2 linked regions of the Chlamydomonas reinhardtii genome follow. The protein of the gene in region 2 binds, or shares a complex with, the protein of the main gene of each other region. Links are inferred from orthologs where the notes say so. Each region holds a gene or a part of one and is shown on either strand. Other genes may lie near its edges.

What was found.
Region 1: CHLRE_02g086700v5 (region 2) and CHLRE_17g721900v5 share a complex: the UniProt entries of both Arabidopsis thaliana proteins name them as parts of the conserved oligomeric Golgi complex. The link is inferred for Chlamydomonas reinhardtii from reciprocal best matches to the Arabidopsis thaliana genes EYE and AT1G67930.

What each region holds. Positions count from the first base shown.
Region 1 is NC_057020.1:3,174,058-3,183,910, reverse strand, and holds the start of CHLRE_17g721900v5 (uncharacterized protein), read right to left. Parts: upstream 5,274-9,853; 5' UTR 5,158-5,273; coding exon 4,522-5,157; intron 4,286-4,521; coding exon 4,196-4,285; intron 3,865-4,195; coding exon 3,688-3,864; intron 3,392-3,687; coding exon 3,237-3,391; intron 2,888-3,236; coding exon 2,731-2,887; intron 2,503-2,730; coding exon 2,327-2,502; intron 2,026-2,326; coding exon 1,537-2,025; intron 1,337-1,536; coding exon 1,183-1,336; intron 885-1,182; coding exon 694-884; intron 470-693; coding exon 238-469; 3' UTR 1-237. Other genes in the region: CHLRE_17g721850v5 (uncharacterized protein), read right to left, coding at 6,899-7,085, 7,389-7,557, 7,774-7,831, 8,045-8,236, 8,355-8,528, 8,758-8,889, 9,222-9,316, 9,576-9,669. UniProt on the Arabidopsis thaliana protein: Required for normal Golgi function.
Region 2 is NC_057005.1:1,774,371-1,784,376, reverse strand, and holds the start of CHLRE_02g086700v5 (uncharacterized protein), read left to right. Parts: upstream 1-4,894; 5' UTR 4,895-4,982; coding exon 4,983-5,499; intron 5,500-5,783; coding exon 5,784-5,916; intron 5,917-6,254; coding exon 6,255-6,300; intron 6,301-6,477; coding exon 6,478-6,666; intron 6,667-6,895; coding exon 6,896-7,045; intron 7,046-7,213; coding exon 7,214-7,413; intron 7,414-7,642; coding exon 7,643-7,730; intron 7,731-7,941; coding exon 7,942-8,058; intron 8,059-8,227; coding exon 8,228-8,581; intron 8,582-8,827; coding exon 8,828-9,019; intron 9,020-9,180; coding exon 9,181-9,363; intron 9,364-9,559; coding exon 9,560-9,802; 3' UTR 9,803-10,006. Other genes in the region: CHLRE_02g086750v5 (uncharacterized protein), read right to left, coding at 1,947-2,710, 2,896-3,014, 3,286-3,362, 3,748-3,860, 4,185-4,272, 4,391-4,454, 4,540-4,664. UniProt on the Arabidopsis thaliana protein: Required for normal Golgi function. Necessary for embryo development and pigmentation, especially for the expansion of cells and organs, and for the formation of the organized shoot apical meristem (SAM).

The DNA.
Region 1 (9,853 bases), on a different chromosome or scaffold from region 2:
GCCAAGGACGCGAAGCGTCTGGTCTACATGAGCTCTGAAGGGAGAAGGGCTAATTCGAAGGTCCAGGGCAGAGGCATGGGGGCCACGATGCTATCGCATAAGATTGCACCCGCATCTTCCACTGCCTACCGCTCCCCTTCCCTGCCTCCACCAAACCAAATTCCGCACCCACGTACACGCACTTCGTCACCTCTAGGCTCTAGCCCCGCCACACAGCCACCCGTCTGCTGGTCATCGTCACGCCGCGTCCACGGCTGCACACATGCGCTTCATCACCGCCAGCGCCTCCGCCGCCTCAGCGCCGTCCTCGCCCGCCGCCGTGGACACCGCGGCGGCGGAGGGCGCGGCCGCCAGCGCGGCGCCGATGGAGCGCAGGCACTCCTCGCTGGTGTGGGAGTCCAGCCACAGCGAGTACTGCAGCGGCGTCAGGCCGGAGCGCTGGTGCGGCGCCTGCACGTTGGCGGGGAGCCTGCAGGGAGCGGGTGGGTGCGGGTGGGTGGCAGGGTGGGTACGGGGGCTGGCAGGGTGCGTCAAGGACGGGCGTAAGGACTGAGGAGGGCCAGACGGGGGCTGGAGGGGCAGCCAAGAACCAGGTGGCCGTCAAAGCCAGCAGTACACTGACCCGTGCGACAACGCCCATTCCTTTGCGCACTTGCGACCCACAGCCGTCGTGCAAGCCCGCAGGTCTCGCACCTGGAGAACAGGTGGTGCAGCGTGACCGCGGGCGGCAGCTCGCCCAGCAGTGGGTTGGCGGCGATGCCGGACGCGGGCGTGAACAGCAGCGCGCGGAAGGCCTTGACGGCGCGGTACGGCTGCCCCAGCTGCTCCAGCGGGTGCAGCTGCTGCCCCACTGCCGCCTGCAGCTCCGCCAGGTCCTTGGCAACCTGCGTATGCGTGCGTGCGAGGTGTGGGTGCGTGCGGGCGAGGTGAGGCGTGGCAGAAGGACCGTGAAAGGCAGCATGCGCTGTCGCGCGCCTTTGGCTTGTTTGGCACCGTAATGGATGGGGCAACAGATTAGCCGCTCTAGTTCCAACTGATGCCAAGCATGCGCCAGGAATACTGCGCCTGCAGCCTCTGCATGCTCATCGGCGGCTGCAATTCTTTCAAGCAGTCAAAGGCCTTCCGCTGGTTTCGCATGTTATGATGACCAATGGTGCTACACGTACGCGTACGCTACCTCACCAGCAGCTTGCCGGCCTGCGACAGCGGCCGCAGCAGCGCCGCGTGCCGGACGAAGAACACCAGCAGGCGGCACGCCATGCGCTCCACCAGGCTGCCCACACAGCTGGGCATGCTTGGCGAGGGCGGCGGCACGAAGCGCGACAGGAACTCCGACCTGCACGCACGACAGGTGCGGGGCGGTGTTGACGCGCGACAAACATCAAGGTGGTGGGTGATGATCTTAGTGCCACACAACCGCAGGCGGCAGGCTACCTGTTTCCTCTCGTGTAAACCCGCGCCGTCCATGCTTATACCACTTACCGAAGCATGGCCAGCAACACCCCCAAGCAGTTTCCTACAACGCCTCTCCCTCACCTGAAGTCTCCAAGCAGGGCCGCCGCCTCCGCCACGTGCGGCGAGGTGGACGTCACGTCGCCGCTGTCGCCCGCGCCGCCGTACCCGGGCCACTCGTGCATGCGCAGCAGCCGCTCCTCGCACGCCTCCACCACCGCCCGGAAGATTGGCGCCACGCAGTCCACCGCCGCCGCCTGGACCGCGCCCAGCGCGCCGCCCAGCGCCGGCGCCGCCGTCGGCGGCAGCCGCGCCAGCAGCGTCGACAGCGAGCGGTGCGTCTCCTGCAGCTGCGAGCACAGCGCGATGTTGCGCAGCTGGGAGGCGTTTGGCGACACGGGGCCGTAGGCTGCGGCGCCGCCTCCCGGCGCCAGCTGGCGCAGCTCGGGCCCGGAGGCGGCCGAGTACTCGGCGCGCTCGGCCAGCAGCGCCAGCGCCTTGGCGGCCGTGGCGGCCATCATGGCGGCCAGCTGCGGCGACGAGGCGCCCACCTTGAGCTCCTCGTGCATCAGCCTGTGGGGAGGAGGGGGAGATATATGGGGTTGTAGATACCAGATCAAACTAAAACCGAACCCAATGCAAAAGGGGGGAGGAGGGGGTAACATGCCCGAGCCACACAACTACGATAGGTCCCAATGGTCAAGGGGGGAGCCGTAGGGACAGCGGGGACTGCGGGGAAGCGGAGGGGACGGCAGCATGCGATATGGCGCGTGTGGTGGGAGCGTGACGCCAGGCAGAGTATTGGTGCAGTACCCAATGTTAAAGTCGGCGCCCTGCGTTCGGTCATGCCCCGAAGCCCGAGCCTTGCACGCACCCGATGCACTTCTGCACCTCTGTCGCGGACGGCAGCTGGCGGCTGCTGCCGGGGAAGGCGGCGGCCACGGCGTCAGTGAGCCGCGACAGGCACCCAGCCATGTAGGCGGTCTGGAAGGGGCTGGTGGCGGCCAGTAGCTGCTGCAGCTGCGCCGGGCCCACAGCCGGCAGCACGCCCTGCGGCATAGGTGGCGGGCGAGGGCGAGGGCGCCGGTGACCACAAGGGGGAAGCTAGGTCACTGTGTGTGCTACTTGCTAACCGCGCGATGGGCCCGGCCTGGCAGCGTGTTATTCGATTATCATCTCTCATCACCTCCTTACACACTCACCCTTGCCCTTGCCCGCGTCCCGTCCGCGCAACAGCCATCACCCTCCCCCTACCACCACCGCCACGGCGCCACCCACCTTGATGGTGGTCTCGGCGGTCAGGCGCTCAAACATGGTCTCAATGAGGCCCGCCAGGCGCGTGTAGGCGGCCGTGAGCGTGTCGCGCACGAAGCCGCCCTTGCCCGGCTTGGCCACACTGGCGAAGGCGTCCGTGGTGGCGCGCACCACGTCAGACCTGCAGGGTGGAGCGGGTGTGGCGGGCGCCGAGGCCACACGTCGGGACAGCCGGGGAGCGGCAACATTCGCGTCGTGGCGAAGCTGCCAGGCCACATGACAGGATGGCACCGGCCCAGCCGTAGCCCCCGCGCTGGGTGCGGTGGGCAACGCCCGTCCGTACTGCAAGTCGCATCCCTCTCCCGTACACACACCAGCTGCGCGCCCGCCTGGCCCACATCCAACAGCGCGCCCGCCTGGCCCACATCCAACAGCTGACACAATAACCCCTGGGCACGACGCGGCCCGCTCTCCCTCCCTCCCCCTCCCCCTCTCCCTCCCCCTCCCCCTCTCCCCACTCCCGCACCCACCAGAAGCGCGCCACCAGCAGCGGCTCGCCCGGTCCCACCAGCACGTCCAGGAAGCACACGTGCGACAGCGGGTCGCGCTTCTTGGCCACCACGCGCTGCAGGTGCCACACCGCCACAGTGCTGGAGCTGATCTGCTCCAGCACGTCGCGCAGGGCCTGAGCAGGGCGGCGGGAGGCGGGCCGGGTGGGGGGGGGGTGTAGATGCCAGCCCAAACTAAACCGAACCCAATGTGGGGGTGGGCGGGTTGGACTAACTTGTTATTGTGGGCGAGTGCCGAGTACTACGTGTGGGCTGGACACAGGTTTTGGTGATGCCAGCACGTAAGAGGCGGGTCGTGTTGCTCATGGGTACGCACACAGGTGACGAGGCGCAGTAGCGAGGACGCAGCGTGCCGGCGCTGGCAAACGGCTGTGACGCCGCAGCCGTGTGAGGTGAGGAGCACCGCACGCACCTGCCACATGCGGTCCTGCGCGCCCGGCGCCGCCTGGCCTGGCCGCCCGCCCGCCGCCGCCCCCGGCGCGGCTGCCCCCGGCGCGGCCGCCTGTGCCGCCAGGTGTCGGCTGTCCAGCGCGTTGCGCAGCGCCTTCTCGATGTCGTGCAGGTGCCGCGACAGCAGCCCGTTCACCGCCTGCGTGAGACGCCGCAGTCGCAGCCATGTAGGGGTTAGGATCAGGGCAAGACACCGCATGCAGTGCAGTCGTTGCGGTGCGGTTGCTGGCCGAGGCGTTTGGTGCCGACACCTATGCGCTCATCATGAGCGGCGCTTGGTCAAGCCCAACCCTCTGGCTTGCGCCCGACCCTTGGCACCAACCTAAGCACCTTCCGAACGCGCGTGCCCCAGCCAGCGGCCCGGCCGCGCAACCCCGGCAATCCTTCCTCAGTCGCTGCTTGCCGTGCGGCAGCAGGAGCAGGAGCAGCAGCAGCTGCTGGCGGCGGCGGCGGCGGCGCTGTTCCCTCACCTGCTGCAGCTCCTCCAGGTTGAATATGACCTGCAGCGCCGAGCCCACCTTGGCCTGGCTCAGAGACTCCACGCCCTCCACCAGCGCGGCCTGTGTGGGGCGGGGATTGGCATGGGTGGTTGTCGGGCCAGTCAGTGTGCAGCGCCCACCGCCCACCCAAGCGCGGCAGAGCGAAATGCGCATCCCAAGCATCTTTCATTTGACGTGATGCGGGCATGTACGCCGCCCAGGCAAGGTAAGAAGGTGTTTGGGTGGTAACACGGCGTGCAGCGCGTGCTGTGCGTCCAGGCCATGCAGTCCCTCCCAACACCCTTGTTAGTGCCCACCTCCGCCTGCTCCTGCACGGACTTGCGGGCCGACTCCAGAAACTCCGCATCTGCGGCCACAGCCTCGATGGCGGAGAGGTCCACCTCGGCGTCCACGTGCCGAATGTCCGTTATGAGCTTGGCTGCCTTCGCAAGGTCCAGCTGCGCTGCTGGCACCGCGAGCTGAGCCCGCAACTTCTGTGCAAGCTTCAGGCGGTGGATAACGTGCCGTAGGATGTCCACGGTGGCGTGGATGTTGCGCAGCTGCTGCGTCTTGTGTTTGATCTGCTCATAGGGCCCCACCACCTCAGCGCGGATGCGCCGAACAGCGCTCTGTAAGGACTCCACTGAAAGCACCACATCCCGGACCGAGTTTTCTGCGTCCAGCATACGCCGGACGTGATGCAGGAGCTCCTTGTTCCGCGCGACCACCTCGTCGGACAGCGCGGACTCCAACTGGTGCACTCCATCGCGCAGCTGCTCCGATTGAGCTGACGCTGTTGTATGCGAGCCACCAAGAACCTTAGAGGTGAACTCTGCTACGTTGAAATTGTTGTCTAGGAAGGGCTGGAAGCGGGGCAACTGCAGCAAGTCGCTGCCCCCACTAGTGCTAGGACCCGCATGGTTGTCATCGGTGCTATCACCGCCTTTGCCCATCGCGTCAATTGCGAGAGGTTCTGGTGCAGAGCTTTGTCAATTTGTGCGCAACATATCTTCGTGTTCAAGGCCAGGCCTGCGAGTCAAGCTTCAACCAGCTCCTTGTATATTAGTATAGCATAGATTAGCAGGCTGGCACAGCGGGTGAAGCGGGGCTGAACTTCAAGCACGTACCAGCGCACCCCTCAGATTGGACCGCCGACGGCCCCCTCCGCCAAGCTCGCCACCCGCGTGTCGGCGCACGGCTTCCAGCATATACCGTACTTGCTAGTCAGCTGTAGTGCTAAGCCAAGCGCTCGTATCCTGGATGCACGACGCGGACGTCCGCTGACGCGCGCACGGCGCCGCACGTCCGCCGGAACAGGCCGCTAGTGGCCTTGGATGCTCACCCAGTCCTATCCCCTTTCCCTGCTCATGCTCGCGGTCGTAGGATGCACGGCACCAGTGTACCTGCACGCAGCTGTCCGCAACTCTGCACCGATGTGGATGTGCGGAGTTCCCGACTCGGCCTGTCGGACGGTTGTGCCTCCCACCTCGAGGATCCCACACGCTGCTCTGGCCCAATCCCGCCGCCGCCACCAGGTGGCTGCCCCTGTGGGGGCCACGGCTGGGGCCCAGAGCCCTAGAGCTCCCTACAAGCTGGTGAGCGGATTGCAGATTTGCAGCTGTTACTTAATCTCCTGGATTGTAGATTTGTAGTTGCGCCGCGCAGGGGGTGTCCTGGCGCTGCACCATGAAAATGCATCGTATTGAGTCGTCTTCACAGCCTGTCTTGGGCTTACGTTCCGTAGGCACGCCTAGCCAAGCCTGCTGTATCAAGATTGTATACGGTGACAGAACCTGATAGCCAGTGTCCACCGGCAGCCTGCACCCAAGACGCCTCTTCTAGACATACAGAGCGCCAGAGCTCGAGTGTCTGCCACACGCACAACCCGCTTACGGCATTGCACTAATGCCGACGTCCCCAGGCTCCGTCACCTACAGATCATTACGCGCCGAGCGGACATGCCGCATGGCGTGCGCATTGTCAGTGAGTAGCTCTGCCGCTGCCGCTCCAATTGCTGCTCCCACGCAATGCCCAGTCACCACAAGGAACGACCCGCACCACAGGAGGGAGCCCGCCTGGCTGTGGCCGCACACGAGCCGGCTAAAAACGACCTGTATGCCTGGGCACCACGCAACTCCCACGCACCATGCAAAACAGCATTGACCGCGTCCGCAAGCGTCGGGTCGCCTGCACCGCTGGAGCCCCGGCCCCCACTGAATCCTATCATCCACACTTGCCGCGCCGTAACTTTGTTTCGCACCTTCCCGAAGTCCTAAACTGGGACCATAATCTGCAAACTCGCTCAAAGGTGCACGCAATCACGACAACAGCGCTGCCACACACCAGCATCCGCAATGAGGGCGATGCCAGGTTCGGTATGTTTCCGTGCATGCAAAGTATGCTGATAGTGATGACCCCGCCGTTGCGCTTCGCCCATGCGCAAGTGCTGATGAACCGCGCTGCCAACCATCACCGTTTGACTGTTGTAGTCAAACACCCGGCATAATCCCAAAATGTCTAACGCATGGTAGCAGTGCGCCCCCGCATGCCTGTACACACCGTGCCCACCTGTGCGCATACTTAACTGTCACGATCTCGGGCGAAAATTATATGACGTCCTGGCTTGGGGTACCGTGAAGCGCACCTCTTAGTGCAAGTCGTGACACACACCAGTCCCCCTGCACCCCAGTCCGCTCACTCCTCGCACGCCGCCTGCGCCTTGGCCGCCTGCTCGTAGTAGCGCTGCGCCAGCTTGCCTTTCCCGGCCTCGCTGGCGGCCTCGGCGGCGGCCTCCAGCAGCTCCGCCGCCTTGGCGGGATCGGGTGCCAGGCCCTCGCCGCCCGACAGCAGCAGGCTGCCGTAGCTGAACAGGATCTCGTACCTGCAAGGAGGCAAGAGCAAAGAGACTAACTAGACTATGCGAAGACGACGAGCATGAGCACGAGAAGCAGCGGGGGCGGGGCGGAGAAGGACGGTGCGGTGCCCGGGTGCTACGGAAAACGCCGCGCGCCACGGGGCCGCGCCCAAACATCCACGTACTCCAGCGCAGCGCCGCCAGCACCCCCAGCACCCTAGATCGGTTCAACGTTAACCCCAGCCCCCCAGCACCCCGCCCCAGCCCCCCAGCACCCCGCCCCAGCCCCCCAGCACCCCAGCACCCCCCAGCACCCAGCACGCCACCCACTTGGCGGCGCTGGCCCCCGGCAGCGCGGCCGCCTCCTCCTCCGCCTGCAGCTTGCAGCGGTGCAGGAAGGCCTTGCTGGGCCGCAGCTCCTCGATCTTGGGCACCCGCAGTGCGGACAGGTTCACAGTGCTGCCGGCGGACCCCAGCATGGGCAGGTCGGGCAGCATGCCTGCACGAGCCAGCGAGCGTGGGGGCGTGGGCGCGAGCGGTGTTCTTCAAGTCAGATAGGCCGTGGCGGTGCACTGCCGTGCACAGGGAAGGTCGCATACAGGTTGCACGGGCTGGCCAGTTCGGCGACCGTTCGACCGCACACTGGCAGGAATGATGCAGAAGCGCGACCGCGCACGGTAGCAGCGACAACCCCTGGTGAGACCGCCTAACCCACCTGCATCGCTGTCCCGGTCGCTGGCAGCGCGCATGACCGACATCTCGAACTGCGGCTCCTGGGGTGGACAGAGTTGGGTTGCATGGTTGGAAACCAGTCGAAAAGGTGGAGCAAGGACACAAGGGCGGAAACCGCGGCCGGTCAGCGACACGCACATCAGGCCATCAGCACGGCCCCAGGCAGAGTGCACCTTCCACTGCCACCGCCCCGCCCACCGGCTGACCGGCTGCACCAGCCGCACACCAGCCCGCTGCCCCAACACACCACTCACGTCGTCGCTCTCCGCCTTCCCACTGCGCCGCTCGCTACCGTCCTCCGCGTCCTCCTCATCGTCCTCCTCCTCCTCATCGGCCTCGCGGATGACATCGTCGCCTCCGCCGCCCGCCTCCGCCGCCGCCTCCTCCGCCTCCGCCGCCGCCAGCAGGTCGGGCAGCGCCAGGGCCGCCGCATACCACCGCGCCGCCTGAGGGAAAGGGGTGCAAGATCCAGGTCTCATGGGGATGGTGAAATACCGTAGATCTCCCCCCCCCACAGACATCATCCTGCGCCACGTAGCCCGCCCCCGCCCCCGCCCGCCGCACCTGCGCCGGCTGCCCCAGTCCGTCCAGCACCTCTTCCCCGAACAGGCCGCTGCCGGAGGCGTAGGCGCTCGCAGCCGCCAGCGCCGCGCCGCGCACGCCCCGCTCTGCCGCCAGCAGCGTGCAGCGCCAGGCCACACGCACGTGCGCCTGGAACAGCCGCTGCTTGGTGCCCACCTGCGTCATGGTTGTGGAATGGTGGGGGGAGGGCGGCTCGACGACGACGGCGGCGGCGGCGGCGGCCAGCAGTTCGTTGGGGTGCCATGGCGCACGGCGCGCAACCAACCGACGTGGCGCAGGCGCGGCCGCAGCGCCAAGGCTGTTCACATGCACACTAGCATCGCACCCGACACCAGGTGGTGGTGGGAAACAACGCCTTCCCCCCAACAGATCCCCTAACCCGCACCTTAAACACTTGCGCAAACTGCGGCGCGGTGGCGTCAATGCCGCAGTGCGCTCGCGCCAGCACCAGCAGCGCCAACACGCAGCCGCCCTGGGCCGCAGCATTCAAATGGAACAGCCCGCCGCGCAGAGCGTCCTGGGGAGCGGGAGCAGGGAGGCAGGCAGGGCGGGGGAGGAGCGGCTTGTTGTGGGCGGGGCCTAGGGCGCGGGCGTGCTTGAATGGGCAGGGCACAGGGAGATGACGACGTAAACTACCGACCGGTCCGCTACAGCAGTCGGGCTGCTGGGGGGAAGCCAACTGCAGCCCTCACACCGCCACTCACATTCGCACATGCACGTGCGATGCGATTGCCATGCGCGGCTTCCCTAGATTCGCGCACACGCTGTCTTTGCGCTTTGTATTCCTCTGCTCTTTTACACACATGAGGGGCCACACAAGCCGGCGCGCCGGTGCGGTGAGTGGCTCACGTCTGGGTCCTCGTTGGGCCTGAGGTCGGGCAGGAGCACCACCTCGCCGTACAGCTTGGCGATCTCCAGGTGGACCAGGGACTCGGGCGTCTCCCCTGTAACAGGGGGAGGGTTACACTCATGAGTAATTAAGAATCGAAGGCGTAGCCAGGAAAAGTATTATAGCAGACGCGGGGAGGGTTACGTTCACAATATTAATCAAGAAGCAGCGAGGGGAGGGAGGATGGAGGAGTTGGAGTGGGAAACCAGGTGGGGGGAGGAAGGGAATGCAGCAGTACTCGATGATGAGGGCGAGCGGGGTTGGTAGGGGCTGGCGCTCGCTCCCAGCCCAGCACGCGGCACGGCGGCACTCACTGGGGACCTCCTTCAGAGCCGCCAGACACGCCTCCTCCGCACACGCCGCCTCGGGCTGCTGCTGCCGCTTCTTCTTGGCAGCAGCCATGCGCTTCTGAAGGACGAGGGCAGACACACACAGCAGGAGAAAGCGGATACGTACGGAAGCCGGGTTGGGGGTCCTTGGTTGAGGCAGCTTGCCCGCGCAGCCCAGAGCGAATTCAGTCATGTAGGAGGTCCTGTGCACCGCCGGCTCCAAGCCTGTGCTCTTTACCTACTCATTCCCGCAGCTCCTACCA
Region 2 (10,006 bases):
CGCGGCCCGCCCACGCGCCGTCCGCCACCGACACGGCAGCTGCGCCGCCAGGGAGCACCATGGCGCCTTGCTGCAGAAGGCTCGACCGAATGAGGATGGCCGTGCCGCCAGTAACACGACGGCCCTCCGGCTTCTGGGCCGGCGCCCACCACGCCGTCCACTCGCGTGCATGCAGCCGCTGAGCGGCTGCCGCCAGGTCCGCCGTGACAAGGTCAATGTCCGAGTCAAGAACGTGCGTCTCTTGGAGACACACCACATCCAGGTGCTGCCGCTCCCAGCAGCTCAGCAGGGCGTGCAGGCGCGAGCACCCCAGGTGGGGCACCCGCTTCCGCAGCCCCCGCACGTTATGCGACCCCACCCGCAAGGGCCGGGGCCCCGGAGCGGCCTGCTTCGGCCGCCGCATTACTGCTGCCTGCCCCCGGGCGGGGCGACCGAGCTAACGTCCATGAAGTCGCCAGGACCGCCCCGCCGGCCCTGACACAGCAGCTTCGCGTTGACATCCGGCGCTGTCTCCGCATCCCCCAGCAGCCCCTGCCCGACGCCGCCCGCCAGGCCCTCATCACCCACACCACCGTCGCTGCTCCACCCCGCGGGCAGGACCGCCGGGCCCACGATGCCACCCAAGCCCGCCGTTGACACCGGCGCGGCCGGCGGCGAGGCCGGCTCCACGCCCGCCGCAGCGGTGGCCTCTACGGCGGTCATCGTGCCACTCACGCCCGCTGCCGCGGCCGCCGCCGCGGCCGCCCCGGCCTCGGCCGCCGCCGGGGTGCCCGTTGCCCGCGTAAGGACGGAGAGACAACGGACTCGGAATGTACACGCGTGCTGGCACACGTAGCGTTGCCGCGTGCACCTGATGCATGCGAGTGCGCCTCCCACATCCACCTACACCGCCCCCCCGCCCTTATGTTGGCGTCTCCCCCGGGGGCAATACAGATGTGCCTCATTAATGCTCGGAAAGGAGGGGACGGTAGCCAGCGATTAACTATCCAGACCTATCGCAATACGTGACTGCCGCAGTCTCATGCTACAAAAGCGTTTACTGGTACAGAACCCGCGGGGCACGCGAACTCGCCGTATATGGCGTGACAGACTGACAGTATGGCCAGTGCTTGCCAGTGTGAAAAGCCGTATGCACAGTAGCTAGCACCTGGCTGGGCGAGTCACAACATGACGAATCGACGGTGGCAAGCTTGCGTCCTGCTTGCGTTGTACAAAGTTGCGTGCGTGGCCGGCGTGGCTCGAGAATTGAGATGTTCGCCATGGTGCTCACCCAGTCACCCAGCTGAGGTTCCTGACTCCTCACCCCAACCGATACATACCCATTCAAACACACCCTGCGTGCCGTATCCGCTGCATCGCACCAAACACATTATGACGCGCACATCCTGAGCTTCCACACATGACACCCAACGCCCGTCACCGCTGCTGTGGTGGGGTGTGGCACCTTGCCAGCTGCATCAACTGCGGCACAGCGCATGCCGCGTTCGTTGTTGCCGGCCTGCCCAAGAAGTGAGCTGGGCTCAGGTCACACCTACCCAGAGGTCACACATCTCACTGCTGCACACATCCTGCGTCTGCCTGTTCGTCTCGCTCCAGCTATCCGTAAGCGCTTGTCACACGCGGTCGGTGTCCCACAACCGCCATCGTAAGCCGCACATGTCGGAAGCACCACACGTGTGTCAAGTCCCGTGTAATCAAGTCCCGTCTTGTTAGTCTAGTCCACCACCAGGTCCCGTCATGCTACACCGCACGACAATGCACCTGTGCCGCATGCCTGCCTATGCCGTCCCTGCAGCATACGGCATGCACAGAAGTGGCTCCCCACACGCCCGCTGTGCCTTTCTGGGGGCAATGGTCAAATGCCTAACTAACGCAATGAGCCCTCATGATTACAGCATCGCCTCGAACCCCACCACGTCAAGTGGACCGTCCTCAAGTAACAGACGCTACCCGCTTGCCGTCTTCTTCTCCTTCCTACTGGACTTCTCCTTCTTCTCCTTCTTTCCGCTCTTTTCCTTCTTATCCTTCTTGTCCTTCTTCTTAGACGCGTCTGCCACGGGCGTCACACCGTTTGCGGTGGCTATCTGTGGCGTCGCCGCGGTCACCGCACCGCCGTTCGCCACCGCCCCGGTGGTGTGCGCGGGCCCCGCCGCTGACGGCACAGCTCCGGCTGCTGTCGCCGCACCGACTTGCGGCGGCGCAGACAGCGCCGGCGCCACCGCCTTGCCCTTCTTCTTCTCCTCCTTTTCCTTTTTCTTGGCCGCCTTCTCCTTCTTTTTCTCCTCCCTCTCCTTCTTCTCCTCCTTCTCCTTCTTCTTTTCGCTCTTGTCCTTCTTTTCCTTCGTCGAGTCTGGCCCGGCTGCCGCTGCCGCTGGTGTTGCTGCGGCCGTTGCTGCTACTGCTGCCGCAGCCGGCGCCGCCGCGGCTCCTGGCGTCGCCTCCCCAACCGGGACTGCGCCCGCGTCCGTCTTTCTCCGCTTTTTCGCCGCAGCCTCGCCATCCGCCCCGTGTTCCCGCTTGCTGCCCTTTCCGTCTTTCCCCTCCTTGCCGTGCCTCTCCTTGCTCCCATGTGCCGGCTTGCCATTTGCTGCCGCCACCGCTGCAGTAGCGGCAGCTAGCGCCGCCAGCCCCCGCCCCGACGGCGTCGCGCCCTCGCCACCCATGACCACATCCCCGTCCTCGTCCTCGCGTGGAGAGGCAACCGGGTCTGCTGCAGGGGTTGTGTCAGGGAAAGCGGGAGCTTCAGCGAGACGTGTCATGTTTGGCGCCCGGCGATTGGCGCAGCCACCACCGCAGCTTCACGCTGGTGCGCAAACGAACCCCTTCAGCCTCACCAGTCCTGCCCTCCAGTCCTCCCCTGCACCCCCTGTGGCCCCTCCGCCCCGTCCCACTCACCCGGCCACCCCGCCGGCGGCTCCGGCAGCTGCACGCCCGGGTGCAGGAAGTCCGCGGCGCCGGTGGCGGGCTCCCGCATGGAGCCGCTGATCTGGAAGAAGCCGCCGTTGTCCTTGACACTGGGGGCGGAGAGGAGAGAAGAAGGCGGCAGAGGGGAGGCGCAGGTTGGGATAGCCATGTCGGGGTTGGAGAGGCCGGACTAATTGTTACGAGTCGGACTCCCGGGTCATCACGCATGCCCTTCTGAGGTCTGCCAGCTGCACCCGACACGCCACAGACGGGTGCAAGTGGCATGCTGCCTGCTGCTTGCATGCCTGACCTCCTGCCCACCACCCCCTTCGGCCACCCCACGCCGCATGCCCCATTGCCCCCCGCGCCGCCGCCACTCACTCCTCCACTCGGAACACGATGTAGCTGTGCTCGTGGATCTGGTGCTGCGGCGTGACCTTGTGAATCCACTTGTTTTCCTGCGCGCGCCACACACAGGTGCGGATGACACCGTCATGACTTATGACGCGCCCCACCGGGGCCTCCCCGTCTCTGCATGGCGCCTGGGCAACTGACGTGCTGCAGCTGTCACCTGCCTGCTTGCTACCTTGCCGGCCTCCCGCAGCCCCGCCTGAGCCCGAGGAGCCCCCGCCCCGCGCCCCCCTCACACCATGTTCATGCAGCCTCCCACCTGCAGTGTTCCCCACACCTGTGCCGCGAAGTCGCAAGCCCACGCCCCGAACTCCTCACACCTTGTGACGTAATGCTCGTGCCCCGCTCTTCCTGCCCTCCCTGCCCTCCCTGCCGCCCCTACTCTCCCTGCCCTTCCTGCCCCTCAACCTAACCACACCCGCGCCGCCCCACCTCTCGGAGGAAGTGCAGCTCCGGCATGACGGCCCGTGTGGGTATGGTGACGTTGAACACGCCCAGGGCCAGGGCGCTGATGTAGTCCTCGCCCAGGTGGTTCACACGAGCCACTGCGAAGGGGAGGCGGGCAGGGGAGGAGGAGGAGGAGGAGAGGAGGCGGAGGAGGAGGAGCAGAGGGGGGAGCAGGGTCAGGAAGGCGGCGGCTGCGGCGTCTGGAGGCAGACATGTGGCCGTGTGGCAGGCCGGCGGAGGAGAAGTCGGGGAGCATCCACCAGCCCCCAACCCCACACGTCGAGCCTGCAGCTGTCTCTCATGGACAGACGCGCGATCGCCATACCCCTAGCCTGTAACCCTGTCATTGCTGGTACCCGCCTCCTTCCGAGTGCTGGCCACTTGTGCCCTGCCCGCAGCGGTGCAGCCGGTGCCGACCTTACCCAGAGTCATGCCGGGCGATGGCTTGAAGAGCAGCACGTCCGCCCGCACGTCGAGGTGGAAGTAGGGGAAGTACGGGTGGATGACAGGCTGCACGCACGAGAATGAAATGCGCACTGTTTGTAGTCTAATTGACAGCGTCGCGGCCTTTGGGCGGCGCACGCAGTGCATGCTGGTGACCAGTTTGGGCTGACCGGCTCGTTCGCACCTGCTTTGTGAGAATCTGCACATTTGAATAGGCCACAAGCACTCCCTCGAACTCGTCGACGTATCTGCAAGCAGGTCGCCGATTGCACGTCAAGACTCGGCGGCGCGACGGCTCCACTGCGAGGGAAAATTGAAGCTTGCTGCACACACCTAAGTAGATGAGCGTTTAGCTGCTCCTTGACGCCGCCCAACACGTCGGAAACAGTGCTTGGGTGCAGCTCCACGGCGAAGTGCGTCCGCGTGCGGTAGAGTCCATTGCTACTGATTGCCGCCATGCTGTCCAAGTAGAAATTTAAAGGTCCATTAATGCTCTTGCACGCAGGCGAAAGAAGTTTTGTGGAAACGACTCGCAAAGCAGGCATACAGGCACAGTGCTTCTAAGTTCTTGTCTCTGAAGTATGATACAAAGTACAGCAGTAAGTTTGACACCTGCAGAGAAGAAGAACCCATGCGACCCCAACCGAAGCAATTAGTTCTGCTCACATGTTTTACCCCTCGCCAACCCCTCGCTCGTTTACTATCCCCCTCGGCACCAAGTACTAGTCATGAAGTAGGAGAACTCAACACGGAGTGCGGAGACCAACTGCGCCAAAATGGCCGATATCCTCAACGAAGCATTTGGGGAGGACGGCTTTGACCCTATCTCCTGGATTAACAATGCGTGCAATAACAAAGCAACGGATGAGCCGCTTGAGAAGTTCCTCGCGGAGCTGGAAATGCGCCTGCAGCTAAACGCGGAGGATATTGAGGCCACGCTCAGCGACAACAGCGCACAGGCTATGCGTCGGATACCCTTTGCTATCCAGGAGATTTACCGCCTCCAGGGCGACATCCAGGGAATGCAGGATCAGGTCCAGGTGCTGGCAGGGAGCGTGCAGCGCGACGCCACGGACGCGCGCGGCAGCGTGGAGCACATCTCGCAGCTGCACCTGGTCAAAGCGAACATGGAGAACGCCTGCAACTCCTTGAAGGAGGCAACGGAGCTATCGGGGCTGTTTGTCAAGGTGGAGGAGGTCTTTGCCGCCGGCGACTTGCCCAAGGTGGCTGAAATCCTGGCGTCTATGCGCCGCAGCCTCAGCCTCGTGGGCGACGTGCCCGAGTTCCGCGCGGGTGAGGCGCCAGCGTGCGGCGGGGACCGGCAGTGCGCGTGTATTTGCCAGGTGGTCTGTTCAGGCTGCGTTGGCTGTTGCGCGCCAACACACCATTGCGACACTCCCAAGGAGTGGGGGCCTTCCCCCGCCACCACCCCGACTCCACACATCCCCCCGCGCACCTCCCCACCCACCACCTCTTACCCCACCTTCAACACCAAGCGCCAAGCCATACCCGTGTGCCACTGCCACCCTGGCAATCGCCTCATGACCCGCCCGCCCCGCCCCGACGCGACTACGCAGGCCGCCAGAAGCTGCGCGCGCTGGAGGACCGGCTGCAGACGCAGGTGGAGGGCAGCCTGGGCGAGGCGCTGGCGCGGGGCGCGGACGACGAGGCCATGCGCAAGCTGTGCGGCCTGCTGCTGGCGGTGGACAGGTGCGGGGTGGGGGCGGTGGGGGCGACAGCGGAAGGCGGGGGCGGCAGCGCGGGCGGGGGAGGAAACGGAGGGCGCCGGATGCGCGGCACAGGGAGGAATCCGTATTGAGTCGCGAGCCAGAGGGGGCGCTGGGACTGCAACGATACGGCGCTGGGCACGGCGTTTGGTGGAGAGCGGAGCGCGTGAATGCGTTCCGGAGCGGAAGGTTGACTAGGAGTGGCGACTGGCGGAGGCAGTGATTGAAGCCGTACCAGCTCCTCCAGGCAGTCCTCACCCGTGACTGTGCAGTGGGCCAATGCTGTACGTCGTACGCCTGGTTGTGTGTGTGTCGTGGCAGGTACGGCACGATTGAGAGCTTGTACGTGTCCACCAAGATGGCCAAGGTGGGTGCAGGCTGGCCAGATGGCCATGAAGGACTGGGGACGGGCGCTGGCGAATGGGCGGATTTGCAGCGAGCCAGAAAAGCCGGGGGTCTTGAGCGGGCGCCTGCAACGCTGTCTTTGTACGTCACCATATCGCTGACATTTCGTTGTGCGCTTCCTGACCTCACCCAACCGCAGGTCCACGCGCTATGGGAGGAGGTGGCGGCTGCCGGCGCTGCTGCGCCCGAGGGCGCCGCCTCCTGGCTGGCCACCTTCCTGTCGCGGCTGCTGGCGCTGCTGGAGGCGGAGGCGCGCTGGGCGGCGGCGGTGCTGCCGGGCCAGGCGGCGGCGTTGCTGGGGGCGCTGTGCCTGTCGGTGTTCACAAAGGTGGGGCGGGTCGGCAGTGAGGACACGGGCAGGGGGCGGGTGAGGGTGGAGGCAGGTCAGGCAGGAGTGCAGGGGCGCGGCGAGCTGCCGTGAACTGGAGTGGCGGGGTGGAGGACGTGCCTGCGTGCATAAATACTGTCTCAACCTCTGTATGATCAAAGCAAGAAAGGCCATAGCGCCGATGGCATCGGACCCGTTGTGTCATTCGTTCTCCCTTATCCCGCCACAGATTAGCAAAGCCGCCCGCGACCGGCTGGCTCCCGTGACGCACATCGCGCCGCTGGCGGGCTTTGCTCGCGAGGTGGGCGGCTTCGGCCGCGCGCTGCATGAGCTGCTGAGAGACGTGGAGACGGGCCGGCGAAGGGAGGTCATTGCGCTGGTGAGTGAAAGCAGGGGGTTCAGAAGAGAGTGATGGGTTTTGGGTTTCTGGGCGGCTTCAGGGAATGGACATGTCTTCAGCTTCAGCTCAGCTCCAGCTCCACATGACACGCAATCTCCAGTCTCCACACTTCATGTCCCCACACCACACCACGCCACACCACATCAGGTGTACGCGCCGCTTGAGGACAAGGTAGCGGCGTACGGCGAGCTGGAGGCGGCGCAGCTGGCGGCGGACCTCAGGGCCGCGCTGCCGCCCGCCGCTGCGGCGGCGGCGGCGGCGGCGGGTGACGAGGCAGAGGGCGCGGTGTCTCGGCTGGCGACATCCATCCGGCCGGCCTTTGCGGCACTGCATGCGGCCGTGGAGCGGTGGGTGTGGGTGCGGCGGCTGGTGTGCTGCTGGCTTGGGCATGTCGGCTTGAGGGCGTGTGTGTCCTATCAAATGGCCGGACTGGATGTGGCTTCGTTGGGCCGCGGGCCGGGCTCTACAATTATTGCTTCCACAAGTGCACGCACACGCTTGCACACGCACACACGATGATGCCTGCCGGCCGGCCCCCATGCACGTCACCACCACCACTACCACCGGAACCCGCAGCTGCAACGCGCTGACGGGCGGCAGTGAGGTGCGGGCGCTGCTCAAGGCGGTGGACGGCGAGCTGGCCGCGTACCTGGCGGCACTGCAGGTGGGGGCGGTGGGGGCTGGGCTGGATTGGGTGCGCGTTGTGCGAGGGCGGGTGCGGCACGGGGCAGGGGGCAGGGGGAAGCAGGCAAGGCAATGGCAGCACGCGGCAGAGCCGGCAGGGGGGCCTCCAGCACCACGGCAGGTGGTGGAGCTGCGGCCTGCGCTCATCTCACCTCCTCACGTTTTTTGCCCACTTTGCCGCTGCCTGGCAGTCGGCGGTGTCGGGTCTGGGCGCGAAGCACAAGGCGCGCGCTGCTGCCGGTGCGGCGGGCGGCGCCAGTGCGGCCGAGGACGGCGAGGACATCGCCAACGTACTGCAGCTCATCAAGGTGAGGGGGGATTCTGTGCCCCCGAGCGAGGGGTGGCAGCGGCCACGCCGCGTGTAGTGTGCTGAGGGCAGGAGCCGGCGGCAGCGTGTCTTTCTGTGGCTCTGTCCGTGACCAATGCGCCTTTTTACGCCTTCTAGTGTTCGACCTCGTAAGGATTGGATCTCTGCAGGTCGGCCGCGAGCTGTCTGCAGCGGTGGGCCGACTGGAGGCCGCACTGCGCACCGCCGTCGCCGCCGCCGTGTCCCGCCTGCAAGCCCTCGTGTCCGGAGCGGCGCCAGCCGCCGCCGCCGCGGCGGCGGCCGCCGCCTCCGGCACGCCCTTCGCCTCCAGCTCCGCGCCCTCTGGCGGCGCCGCCGGCCTGAGCGGCGCCGCCGAGGCGGACCCCGTGGCTCTGCGCCTGGTGGCGGGCCGCGGCGAGCGACTGGCCAAGCTGATGAAGCTGGGGTCCGGCCTGAGTGACCCGCGCTTTATGGTGCTGCCCGGCAGCGTGGGGGCGCTGGATAGCTTCTCGGCCACGGTGCAGGTGCGGGTGGGGATGGGGCCCAGCGGGTGGGAAAGCGATGCCGTAATGACGGGGTCGCAGGGACTGTCTGCGGGTGGAGTGGGGTGACCGAAAGGGGTGTGGCTGCTTCATGCCCGAGCCCAACGACTAGGCCCCCCCCCCGTTGTCAAGAGGGAGGGTGCGGAGACGGCAGGAGCTTGGGAAGCGCGGCAGCTGGCGCTCGTTCCGAATGCTGTCCGACGCCCCCTGCCCTTGGCTTGCTTGCAGTCCACGGTGTTCGATGTGTTGCTGGCGCGTGTGGCGTCGCTGCTGGCGTCGCTGCCGGTGCTGCCCGAGTGGCGCAAGGGTGCGGAGGGCTCGGCGCATCCGGCGGCGCCGCTGCCGTCCTTCAACACCTACCCGCTGCCCTACGTCACCGCCATTGGGGACCACCTGATGGCCATGCCGCAGCAGCTGGAGGTGGGAGCGAACACGCCGCGGGGCGGGGAGTCACAAGGGAGCCACAGCTCAGTAATGAGAGCAGACTGGGTTCACTCCCATTTGCTTTTCCGACCTAGACACCATGAGCAGCAGTATGCCGTGGTTCCTTACTCTGCCGCACTGCCGCAACCCGCCCACAGGTTCTCATGGGCGACACAGGCGACGACACGTCGGCGACGGCTGCGGCGGGCGGCGCAGACGCCAGCGGCGGCGGCGCGGCCGAGTGGGAGGAGCTGGCGGCGGAGTGGCTGGACAAGGCGGTCAGCGGCGCGGCGGCCATGTACGCAGACGCCATATTCAAGATCGGCGATCTGGGGCAACAGGTGCGCATGCGCCGGGAGAGTTGGGGAACTTGTGGAGATCCGCGGCTGCTTGGTCGGGGCATAGGATGCTGCTAGCACATAAAGACATACATGTACGCGTACGCACGTGCACACGCGTGCTCGCCACCTGACGGCATCTGGCCACCACTGGCCCACACATCGTGCCCACACATGACGGTGTCCCACAACAACACAGGGCGGCTGCCAGTTGGCCACGGACGTCGAGTACTTCGTCAACGTCATGGGCGCCCTGCACGTGGCACCGCCGCCCAGCCTGCTGACGGTGCAGCTGCTGGCGGGCGCCGCCCCAGAGGAGTTTGCGGAGCTGGGCCGGGGTGCGCTGGCGGAGGGGGCGGCGGACGGGCCGGCGCTCAGGGCGCTGGCGGGCATGCGGCGGATTGCGCTGGAGCCGGTGGCGGCAGCGCCGGCGCAGTCGTAGCGGGGTGATACTGGTGTAATGTACTGTGCTAGCGTTCGCAGTGTTCGTGATGTTTACGTGGTCGCGACATTGCTGCATTGCAAGCGGCGGAGTGTTCGAATCTGGAGGGTCCCAGCAATTGAGCAGGGCTCAAGCACACAACGGCGTTGCACTGCCGCTCTGCCACTGCTAACTGTTTGCTGTCTGCTTACGGGTCTGGGCATC